2 linked regions of the Drosophila melanogaster genome follow. The protein of the gene in region 1 interacts with the protein of each later gene in a biochemical or structural test. Each region holds a gene or a part of one and is shown in the gene's direction. Other genes may lie near its edges. The genes, in order: CycT and Cdk9.

Region 1 (7,797 bases):
ATTTATACATGCTAAGCACGATAATTGTACATATACAACTTCTGGACCTCATGACTCCACTCGATTATAAACGTATTTTATATGTATACACCAATTATTTGTTAGATTGGATAACCCCGAATGGCTGGATAAGACCAACTAAATTATATGCAATAGAATATCGATGCCGTTGGGCAAGATTTCTATGCTAGGCTAAGGCTAAGACAAGATATCTTTCTATTGGTAACTCAAAAACGAAACGAACTATATAGCTTTTAAATGGAAACGTGCGATTATTCAAAGGTATTCTATGCCGCCTGAGAATAGTAGAGATATGGATTGGCCTAGATTTAGACGAATATGTTGAATGCATTAACATTAGATACGATTAGTTTTTGACTTACTAACCTAAGTTAAGTTTTTAGACTGTTTATTTCACTTTTTGTTCAATCTTTGTACATTTGACAGACACATTTTAAAAATGTCTGCGATGAGAAATCAGCTAAAGCCAGCCACAATATATATAATATATATATATATACTTTAATGCTTATGTAGTAAGGAAACGAACGTTGGATCGAAGTCATGGTATGTAGGTGAATTTTATGGTTAGAGGCAAGCGCAAGCGAACGGATTAGATTAATTTTTATAAGAATGCATTAAGAAAAACGAAGCAAGTAACAGTCACAAGCTAGCATAATTATTTACTGTTATGACGACATAAGAGTTTTAAGGTTTTTAGCTAAATTTTGTATATTTTAATCTACAAACTATAAATATATATTATCTGTTTTATAAATAACAATAAAAAATTCATATGTGTTTTTATGACAGATTTCAAATGGGTAGAGCATCGCTCTCAAAATGTATAGCCATTTTGAGCTGTACAGGAATTCGGAATGTCTTTTTTACTACTAGTATTATTTCTTATGATTCGGTCGGTTATGGCTTATACGCATAGACCAATAACTCTACATATCCCCACCCACAGAAAGAAGTCACAAAATCTGGGAGGCCAATTACAGGTCCAAAACGTTAGATTAGTCGGTCACCATTAAATCGATTGTGGCACGAGCTGTGTGACATATTGCGTCCTCTTTTTGGAACCACAGGTCCTGGACATCATGGTTGTTCGATTCAGGAATGAAAATGTTGGTAACAATAGCCCTATACCGATCGTCATTTACTGTAACGTACTGGCCATCGTCGGCTTTGAAGAAGTACGGACCAATGATTCCACCAGCCCATAAAGTTTTTCTGGATGTAACGGTGTTTGAGGATTGGCTTCAACCGAAGTGCTGGTTGTCCGACTAGGTATATAAACATATACATAACAACATTTGGATATTTTGATAAAAAAAAGTCATGCGATTAAATGAAGGTGCTCAAAGTACATATATAATATGTCCATATACATATAATAAGATATATTTAAGATGGGACTGTTCAAACATATTAAGTACAAATTCGATTCCCCCGGAATATACGTTATTTTTTAATTGAATAAGAAGGGAAAAAATGTTGACATTGTGATATTTCTACATGTGTTAGCGAAATGTAAAGTTTAAGGTAAGTTACTTAAAAATGTATTTACATTTATTTGAATATCTACCTTACGATTATTAATCGATAACATAAACAGTAGAATCAATGTTGCCATATTTTAAAAATAATATCGATAATGCGAAATAAACATCGGTTTGGAAAGCCTTATCGATCTGGCAGCCCTGCCGACGGCCATACTTGAAAATACATTTTTTTCTGCAAAGTTTGTCATTGTCACTGTGTGAATGGAATCTGTGATGTGTTGTGGAATTAAAAACGTCGAGTAAACGACCCGTAATGGTTAAAGTGCCCGGCGAAAGCAGTGCGAATAACTATGAATTGATACGAAAGTTGCATAACACGTCGCCTGGTGTCGCGGTTAGTGTGTTTTTCGTCTCGTTTCGTTTCCGCCGCAGTCGCAGTTTCCAGAAAACCTCACCACACCATACCATCTCCACCACGCACACACACACACAAACAAACACGCAGAGACGCGGCGGCGGAAAAAGTGTGCGGACCGCGGATTTAACCCCTCGTTCCAAACCCAAATTGGAGTCTCCCAAAAACAGCGAAATATCGAGTGTGGCTTAGCCGATGTGCCGTGCGATCCCCACTGCCCCTTCCGTACCGCTGCCACCCCCGCCACAGCAGCAACGCACACGGATACGGACACAGACACCAATACCAGCGCACTCAAGCACGGCCGACAAAGAAAGAGCGCTCTCCCTTCCTCTTCGTACAGTTAGTTCCTACAGCTGAATCAGCCAAAAGGGAATTACTAGGTCCATTCCGAGGCGCAGTTTGCATGTGAAACGGAGGTCCCCGCATAACCACGCGGAACCCGAAATCCCAGATCCCCATCTCCGCTGCACGGATAAAGGAAACATACAACCATGAGTCTCCTAGCCACGCCAATGCCCCAGGCGGCCACCGCCTCATCTTCTTCATCCGCCTCCGCGGCCGCCTCGGCCAGCGGGATTCCAATCACCGCCAACAACAACCTGCCTTTCGAGAAGGACAAGATCTGGTACTTCAGCAACGATCAGCTGGCCAATTCGCCAAGCAGAAGATGCGGCATCAAGGGCGACGATGAGCTGCAGTACCGCCAGATGACCGCCTATCTGATACAGGAAATGGGTCAGCGTCTGCAGGTGTCCCAACTGTGCATCAACACGGCCATTGTGTACATGCATCGGTTCTACGCCTTTCACTCCTTCACCCACTTTCATCGCAACTCCATGGCGTCGGCGAGCCTCTTCTTGGCCGCCAAGGTAGAAGAGCAACCGCGGAAGCTGGAGCATGTTATTCGGGCCGCCAACAAGTGCCTGCCGCCGACCACCGAGCAGAATTACGCCGAACTCGCCCAGGAGCTTGTGTTCAACGAGAACGTGCTCCTGCAGACGCTGGGCTTCGATGTGGCCATCGATCATCCGCACACGCATGTGGTGCGCACCTGCCAGCTGGTCAAAGGTATGCACCCACCATCCGACCCAAGCCATGTCCCCTTCACATGTCAGATGGTACTGATTACTGTGGTATATTTTAGCATGCAAGGATCTGGCGCAGACATCGTACTTCTTGGCCTCGAACAGGTATGGCTAGCAATGCGCTACTCTATGGTGTAATCCCTCCTAGAGATCGCCCCCAACGCAAATACGGCTGTGGTATAAGCAATGTGTGTGTGTGTGCGGGTGTGGTGTTGGCCCAATCCTCCCCAGAAAGTGGTCAGGCTGTAGAGAGTTCGATCCCTGACTTTTTGTGGCTAAAATCTTTGGGCAGTTCTTTTACCTGCTTAATTCCTCGCTTATAGCTAACAAACCCAGGTATGTGAGTCGAAACAAAAAAAAAAAGTGACGACCCCAAGTCACAAATCGAACAAGAACACGCGGTCCCTAATCGCAGCAGGACGTCTGTACAAATATCGCATCTTAGCAAAAAGGCAGTATTTTCCGTGTCCCTCGCGGTAATTATCCTCAGTTGCCTGCAATAACATTGTAATTTGTGTCGGAAAATCCGCCAAATGTCAAGAATAAGACTAATTCCTAGAAAGAGTCGTTAATTCCTAGAAAAAGATATTTGAAGAATTGTAATGATAACCATTGTAATCCTTTGGCATACTAAAACATCTGGAAAAAAGATAAATTCAGTTTGGCATACCTGCCTACCTAAAACATAGTCAAAATTCTGATTACATGAGGAGAGCTCATTGGGAAAATTTGCGCATTTCGAAATATCGGCAAACGTTTTAGAATAATTCTTTTAAGTTTAAGATCCCCAAGAAATAAAAGAGACTCGCTAAGAACATGCTAAGAACTAAAGACGTAATCTGTATTATAAGTGATGAAATCCCCCTGCACACACTCACCGAACTACATTTATATGTGATATTCTTGCAAAAGATTTCCCACTAAATTGACTTAACCATCCTGGCACAGCCTGCATCTGACCTCGATGTGCCTCCAATATCGCCCCACGGTCGTAGCCTGTTTCTGCATTTACCTAGCCTGCAAGTGGTCCCGATGGGAGATCCCCCAGTCGACCGAGGGCAAACACTGGTTCTACTATGTGGACAAGACGGTCTCGCTGGATTTGCTAAAGCAGCTGACAGATGAGTTCATCGCTATCTATGAGAAGAGCCCGGCCCGTCTGAAGTCTAAGCTTAACTCGATCAAGGCGATCGCCCAGGGAGCCAGCAATCGGACAGCTAACAGCAAGGACAAACCAAAGGAGGACTGGAAGATCACCGAGATGATGAAGGGCTACCACTCAAACATCACGACACCACCAGAGCTGTTAAACGGCAACGACAGCCGGGATCGGGACCGAGATCGTGAACGGGAGAGAGAGCGGGAACGGGATCCGTCGTCACTACTGCCGCCACCGGCTATGGTGCCGCAGCAAAGACGACAGGATGGTGGCCATCAGCGCTCGTCCTCAGTGAGCGGAGTGCCAGGCAGCAGCTCTTCGTCGTCTTCCTCCAGTCACAAGATGCCAAATTACCCTGGTGGCATGCCGCCCGACGCTCATACGGGTAAGTATTTCAACAACTGCAAAAAGAATCACATTTTTAACATCTTCGTATTGAAGATCACAAGTCAAAGCAGCCGGGCTATAACAATCGAATGCCCTCAAGTCACCAGCGTAGTAGTAGCAGTGGACTCGGTTCCTCGGGAAGTGGCAGCCAGCGCAGCAGCTCATCCTCGTCGTCTTCAAGCCAGCAGCCTGGCCGACCGTCTATGCCCGTGGACTATCACAAATCCTCTCGCGGCATGCCGCCGGTAGGCGTGGGCATGCCACCTCACGGCAGCCACAAGATGACTTCGGGCTCCAAGCCCCAGCAGCCGCAGCAGCAGCCGGTCCCACATCCATCCGCCTCTAATTCCTCTGCATCGGGCATGTCCTCCAAGGATAAATCCCAGAGCAACAAAATGTATCCGAACGCACCGCCGCCATACAGTAATAGTGCCCCTCAAAACCCGCTGATGTCGCGTGGTGGATATCCAGGCGCTAGCAATGGATCCCAGCCCCCGCCTCCCGCCGGATACGGCGGCCATCGCAGCAAATCCGGCTCCACCGTCCATGGCATGCCGCCTTTCGAGCAGCAATTGCCCTATTCCCAGAGCCAGAGCTACGGCCACATGCAGCAGCAGCCAGTGCCTCAGTCTCAGCAGCAACAGATGCCTCCGGAGGCATCCCAGCACTCGTTGCAGTCCAAGAACTCGCTCTTCAGTCCAGAGTGGCCAGACATTAAAAAGGAGCCCATGTCGCAGTCGCAACCACAGCCTTTTAACGGTTTGCTACCCCCTCCTGCGCCTCCCGGCCACGATTACAAGCTAAATAGCCATCCGCGCGACAAAGAAAGTCCCAAGAAAGAGCGACTAACGCCAACCAAAAAGGATAAGCACCGTCCTGTCATGCCCCCAGTGGGCAGTGGGAACAGTTCCTCCGGCTCGGGATCATCAAAGCCGATGCTACCGCCTCACAAGAAGCAGATACCCCATGGCGGGGACCTGTTGACCAATCCTGGAGAGAGTGGAAGCCTAAAACGGCCCAACGAGATCTCGGGAAGTCAGTATGGACTAAATAAGCTGGATGAAATAGATAACAGTAATATGCCTCGAGAAAAGCTTCGCAAGCTGGACACTACAACTGGACTACCAACTTATCCGAATTATGAGGAGAAACACACGCCTCTGAATATGTCCAACGGAATCGAGACAACGCCGGATCTGGTGCGCAGTTTGCTAAAGGAGAGTCTGTGTCCATCGAACGCTTCGCTCCTGAAACCGGATGCCTTGACTATGCCTGGCCTGAAACCACCGGCCGAACTGCTTGAGCCCATGCCCGCACCAGCGACAATCAAGAAAGAACAGGGAATAACTCCGATGACCAGTTTGGCTAGTGGGCCCGCACCCATGGATTTGGAAGTACCCACTAAACAGGCCGGAGAGATTAAGGAGGAAAGCAGCAGCAAGTCCGAAAAGAAAAAGAAGAAGGATAAACACAAACACAAGGAGAAGGACAAGTCCAAGGACAAGACGGAAAAGGAGGAGCGTAAGAAGCACAAGAAGGACAAGCAGAAGGATCGTAGCGGCAGCGGTGGCAGCAAGGACAGTTCTCTTCCCAATGAGCCTCTGAAGATGGTTATCAAGAATCCCAACGGCAGCCTGCAGGCCGGTGCGTCAGCTCCCATTAAACTTAAGATCAGCAAAAATAAGGTTGAACCCAATAACTACTCTGCAGCGGCGGGTCTGCCTGGCGCAATCGGATATGGCTTGCCTCCAACTACGGCTACCACCACATCCGCTTCGATCGGAGCAGCTGCTCCTGTTCTGCCTCCTTATGGTGCCGGCGGTGGTGGCTACAGCTCATCGGGCGGCAGCAGTTCCGGTGGCAGCAGCAAGAAAAAGCACAGCGATCGTGACCGCGACAAGGAGAGCAAAAAGAATAAGAGCCAAGACTACGCGAAGTACAATGGCGCTGGTGGCGGCATCTTTAATCCCCTTGGCGGTGCTGGCGCCGCACCCAATATGTCTGGAGGAATGGGCGCCCCCATGTCTACTGCTGTACCACCATCCATGCTGTTGGCGCCCACCGGTGCAGTACCACCCTCTGCCGCTGGGCTGGCACCGCCTCCCATGCCCGTCTACAACAAGAAGTAGTGGTAGCGGTCAGAGGGTTATTCTTAAGTCGTACGTTTTGATATATGTATAGAACCTCAGTAAGTCCGATTGTAGTATAGTTGTTAGGATTGTTAGTGAGATGCATTATTGATTTTAGTTAAGCACATAGATAAAACTCCAAATTGGAAGTGAAACCGGATGCGCAGATCGAAGAAGAGTGGAAGTAGATGTCGCGATGGGGCTGGACGTAAAAGCAGTACTCAAATCGCGAAAACTTTTGTACAGCATTAATTAATTTATAACTATAATAAATAGCATACATATAAGCCCACATACATAAAAATACGGAATAGTTTTAAGCGAATTGTTGGCAAACGGAATCAGAGACCCAAGCAGAAAATTCACAGAGAGCAGCAATGGCCGTCTAGCGTTTAAGTTAGCAAATCAAATACCCGTTTCACACACTCTAACCTGTATATAGCCACTCTCACAAACACACAATCAAGAGATATATAGTACAGACTTCCGCTTAGCAAATATACTAAATACGGCCCCAACTAAATGCAAGCCAGAGAGATAGAAAGAGTAAGAACTTCAAAATAATCCCCACAGAGGAGCATATAGTTGTGGCAGAGGATAGGAGAGTAAATGGAAAGCCAGCGCTTTGATTCAAAATTGAAGACGCCAAACCACATAATGAATTATTTAATTAATACATAGTTGCTAATCCGAAAATGAATGAAGATGTTTATTTTTAGTTAGCAAAGTTTTCCCTTCCTTTCTGAACGATTGCCCGATTACTAACCGTGTTTCAATATAGTTTTCGACACCTAGCAATATATACAGTAGTGTATTTACACTTTTCAATGAAGATAAGTAAAAAGATCGGATTGTTTCAGCGGATGATATTATGTTTCAAGATCGCCTGGAACGTTGACGTAGCTTTCATTTGTTTTAATTTATTTTTTAAATAGCATTACAAAACAAATTACCACAACAAAAAAAAAACCAAAACAAAAACAAATAATAAAGTCCCAAAACAAAAACGGAATATGCAAACAAAAAAGAAACCCAAAACTAAATTTTGGATAAAACAAAAGTTGTTGTGCAAGAAAACAAAAAGTTTTAAAATTATGTAAATGCAAGCGAA
Region 2 (4,418 bases), on another chromosome or scaffold:
CAAGTGAGAAGTCCTGCGAGTCTCACACTTCCCTCGATTTTGCAGCTGTCGCCATCTGAACTTCGCCCGCCGTTTGCAGTGCAACAAATGCGACCGGGACCGCGATGGCAGTGATAAGCCGGAGCGCGACAGGGATCGAGACCGGGAGCGGGAACGCGGCAACGGGAGCAGCAGCAGTAGCAGCAGCTCAAGCAAGAAAAAGCTGGGCACCGAGATCGGCAAGGCGGCGGCCGACAAGTCGCGGGGCTTGTTCAGCGCCGAGGACTGGCAGTGCAGCAAATGCGCGAATGTGAACTGGGCCCGTCGCCAAACCTGCAATATGTGCAACGCTCCTAAGTTCTCGGATGTGGAGGAGCGGACTGGTGAGTCCGTAGAAGCCTGATCTGCTTCAAAACCCACTTAACCAGTTTCTTTAAAGGCTTTGGCGGTGGATACAATGATCGCGGCGTGGTAGAGTACAAGGATCGTCAGGATTCGGATAGCGAGTACGATGAGTTCGGTCGTCGCAAGAAGCGAAAGCACGGCGAGCATAGAGAGGACTCAAAGAGGCCCAGAAGGTCTAGCCGAGATGAGCAGCGGAATGATGAGGAAGAAGATGAGGACGACGACGAGGGAGACGACGAGGATCTATCAAAGTACGATCTCTGGGGCGACGAAGAAGTCACTTCCACGGATGTCAAGAGCAAAGAGGGCACTGGCAATGGCGACAAGGAGCGCAAGCGTACCTCACGCGACTCTACCTCTTCCGTGTCCTCCTCGTCGTCGTCCAGTTCGTCCAGCTCCAGCGACTCTTCGTCGAGCAGCTCGAGTAGCTCCAGCAGCGGCGGCAGGCGGAAAACCTCCTCGTCGGGCAGACGTTAGCTGCAACCGTACCCTTTAGGAACTTCTCTTTAATTGCGTCTGTTTTTACACATTTTTCTAAGGCAATCATGCTTGCCTTCTTATTTATTTGCCAGTATGCGCTCAGATGATCATGACATAGGGTACGATGTCCAGCCTAACTCTTAAAGTATAATAAAACATATAATTTAAGAAAACCAGCATTTACATTTATTGTAAGACACCGTAACATTAAAGAATCGGGCCTAATTGAAGCCATCCTCGTTTTGTTTCTTGCTGCTGGCGGCTGCCTCCGCCTGCTGCAGCTCCTTCAGCATTTCCAGCTGCCTTTTTGAGTCGGCGATCTTCTCTTCTGTCACGGTCACGGGGACATCGCAGGAAATCTGTTCCTGCCGCACGAACTGCATCTTCTTGATGGCCTCCTCAAGGAAGGGTATTTGCTGGGCCTGCAGCTGCTTATGGTAAGCCTCTAGCCGCTCTTCCTTTAGGTTTTCGCAGTATATGTCGGTCAACTTTTGGAGGGATTCCTTGCGGGTGATCCAGTGGAAATGTGTGGGCGGTGGCTTGTACACCAGGTCGAGTTTCTCGAGAATCCACTCGAAGCGGGGATAATCCCAACGTCTCAAGTACTTGAGGAACTTCTTGCGTTTGTCGATGAGCTCCTTGAGACGCACCTTGATCATCTTGTCGCGCGGATGCTTGTCCATGTGCTCCTGGTAGCGGCGGATAACTGCAGTCATTTTTGCCACTAAAAGAAGGGCAAATTTGGGGGGAACTGCTATATGTGCACTTTGCAAAGATACATACATTTGGCCTCCATTGAGCCGAAATCCTGGGCATGTCTTTGCACCTCCTTGACCATCTCATCGCGATAGAATTTTGTGGTCAGGTAACTAGCGTTGTTGCTCAGTTTGAACAAGGATTTAACTGACTCGTCGGCTCTACAAAATGGTGAGATGATGTAAATAAACTATTATATTGAGAGAATACTGCAACATACTTATCCAACTCCTTGCAGTCCCTGTATTCCGGCAGCAGTTCGTCGGCTTTCAGAGGAGGCAGCTTGGCTAAATCGCCGCTCTTTTCGGGCTTATAGCACGCGATCTTCTCGGGGCGCATCCATTTGATTTTCAGGTCCGACTTGAATGCATATTCCCGGACAAACTGCCGATGCCCTGCCTGGGCTATATTCAACAGTTTATTCATTAATTCGGCTTTTATTTGTTGGACAAATTTTGGCTAGGTTATATCACTTGGCCAGTGTATACCAACAATCGAAAAGTTATTACTACCCAGCTGTTTGACCCATCGATTTCTTATCGATAGGCCTTGACAGTGTGTGCACACCGGTATTTCTTTAGTCAACAGCTGTAGAAACACCAATTGTTGCCGATTTCTTTCTTTTCGACTGTCGGCTTCTCGCGAAACTGTGATTGTGAAAATTGTACAAATAGAGGCAAATTTAACCATGGCGCACATGTCCCACATGCTCCAGCAGCCTTCGGGGTCGACGCCCTCCAACGTGGGCTCCAGCTCATCGCGCACGATGTCCCTGATGGAGAAACAAAAGTACATCGAGGACTACGACTTTCCCTACTGCGACGAGAGCAACAAATACGAAAAGGTGGCGAAAATTGGCCAAGGCACCTTCGGGTAAGTCTCCAAATTGGTGAAAACTAACTTTAAACTAAAACATACGACCCCTTTGATTACAGAGAGGTTTTTAAGGCTCGCGAGAAAAAGGGCAACAAGAAGTTTGTGGCCATGAAGAAGGTGCTGATGGACAACGAAAAGGAGGGCGTGCGTGAAAAGCAACATCTTAAGAGACGAATTCCTTATTTATATATGTGCTCCCCTAGTTTCCCATCACGGCTCTGCGAGAGATCCGCATCCTGCAGCTGCTAAAGCACGAGAACGTGGTGAATCTGATCGAGATCTGCCGCACCAAGGCCACCGCCACGAATGGTTACAGATCCACCTTCTATTTGGTCTTTGATTTCTGCGAACACGATTTGGCAGGTCTTCTGTCCAACATGAACGTCAAGTTCAGTCTGGGCGAGATTAAGAAGGTTATGCAGCAGCTTTTAAACGGTTTGTATTACATCCACAGCAACAAGGTGAGTCATGTCATTAAGCAAAGTTTTGGTTTTACATTGTATGTATCTGTTTTCATTTGCATTACTAGATCCTGCACCGAGACATGAAAGCTGCCAACGTGCTGATTACCAAGCATGGCATCTTAAAGCTGGCTGACTTTGGCTTGGCCCGTGCTTTTAGCATTCCAAAGAACGAGAGTAAGAATCGCTATACCAATCGCGTAGTAACCTTGTGGTACCGGCCGCCTGAGCTGCTACTTGGTGACCGCAACTATGGTCCACCCGTGGACATGTGGGGAGCCGGCTGCATAATGGCCGAGATGTGGACACGCTCGCCCATCATGCAAGGCAATACGGAGCAGCAGCAGCTAACCTTTATCTCGCAGCTATGCGGCTCCTTTACGCCGGACGTGTGGCCGGGAGTGGAGGAGCTGGAGCTGTACAAATCCATCGAGCTGCCAAAGAACCAGAAGCGTCGAGTCAAGGAGCGCCTGCGTCCGTATGTCAAGGATCAAACCGGCTGTGATCTATTGGACAAATTGCTGACCCTTGATCCCAAGAAACGCATCGATGCGGACACAGCTCTGAATCACGACTTCTTCTGGACGGATCCCATGCCCAGCGACTTGAGCAAGATGCTGTCCCAGCACCTGCAGAGCATGTTCGAGTACCTGGCGCAGCCACGCCGCAGCAACCAGATGCGCAACTATCACCAGCAACTGACCACCATGAACCAGAAGCCCCAGGACAACAGTATGATTGACCGGGTTTGGTAGACTGCCAGAGGTGTACGCACCCGACTAATAGTTTCTCACCTTCAACTAGCGTTAGGTTATTAGGTTAGTGTACAATAAAAATATTGGCATTTGCATTAGCGCTTGCTCCAAATATACCTACATTATGTTTCTCTGCTTCTTATTATTCTTTATTCAAAGTTTCTACAATTACTTGAAGTTGCAAGAAAGGGTATTCACAATCGACTTAAGTATTAGAACAAAAAGAAAAACATTGAAAAGGGGTGTACACACTGGCCGCGAGATGCACGTTGAGGAAACACAGCAAAAGGTAAACAAGGCCAAAAAGGCGGATAAAAAGCAGCGAAGATGTCTGGCAATCATCAAAAGTGACTGCGAGGTGTCTCCAAGCGCTGAACCCACCCCTTACCTGGCGGTTCTCAACGTGGGACTCAGCAATGGACTCACGGAGGAGTGTTTGCTCACGGAGGCTGCCGCGACCGGTGGAAAAGTCATCCAAGTGGTCATGTTGCCGGGCAAATCGTACTGTTTTTTTATTTGTGCCAGCTTGGAAGACTCCCAGCTCATCTATGAGGGAATGCACAATATATCGACCATTGGACAACAGGGAGCTGTAGCCTACCTTAGCTATATAAGGCAACTACCGGCACTTGCGGGAAAAAGTGAGTGGAACAAGCCTCTTCCCAGAGGCCTTCACATAATTGCTGACTTTGTCACCGAAGAGGAG

What was found.
Region 2: the proteins of CycT (region 1) and Cdk9 form a complex in vitro, tested with the Drosophila melanogaster proteins (one study listed by BioGRID).

The regions. Positions count from the first base shown.
Region 1 is NT_037436.4:17,551,693-17,559,489, reverse strand, and holds the start of CycT (cyclin T), read left to right. Parts: upstream 1-1,701; 5' UTR 1,702-2,417; coding exon 2,418-2,994; intron 2,995-3,070; coding exon 3,071-3,116; exon of another isoform or gene 3,117-3,347; intron 3,348-3,658; exon of another isoform or gene 3,659-3,959; coding exon 3,960-4,555; intron 4,556-4,611; coding exon 4,612-6,686; 3' UTR 6,687-7,797. UniProt on the Drosophila melanogaster protein: Regulatory subunit of the cyclin-dependent kinase pair (CDK9/cyclin T) complex, also called positive transcription elongation factor B (P-TEFb), which is proposed to facilitate the transition from abortive to production elongation by phosphorylating the CTD (carboxy-terminal domain) of the large subunit of RNA polymerase II (RNAP II).
Region 2 is NT_033778.4:22,635,481-22,639,898, reverse strand, and holds Cdk9 (Cyclin-dependent kinase 9), read left to right. Parts: upstream 1-2,171; 5' UTR 2,172-2,308; coding exon 2,309-2,493; intron 2,494-2,555; coding exon 2,556-2,640; intron 2,641-2,699; coding exon 2,700-2,957; intron 2,958-3,025; coding exon 3,026-3,712; 3' UTR 3,713-3,836; downstream 3,837-4,418. Other genes in the region: CG3732 (uncharacterized protein), read left to right, coding at 46-362, 419-861; bonsai, read right to left, coding at 1,086-1,588, 1,648-1,781, 1,841-2,046; CG17807 (uncharacterized protein), read left to right, coding at 3,975-4,418.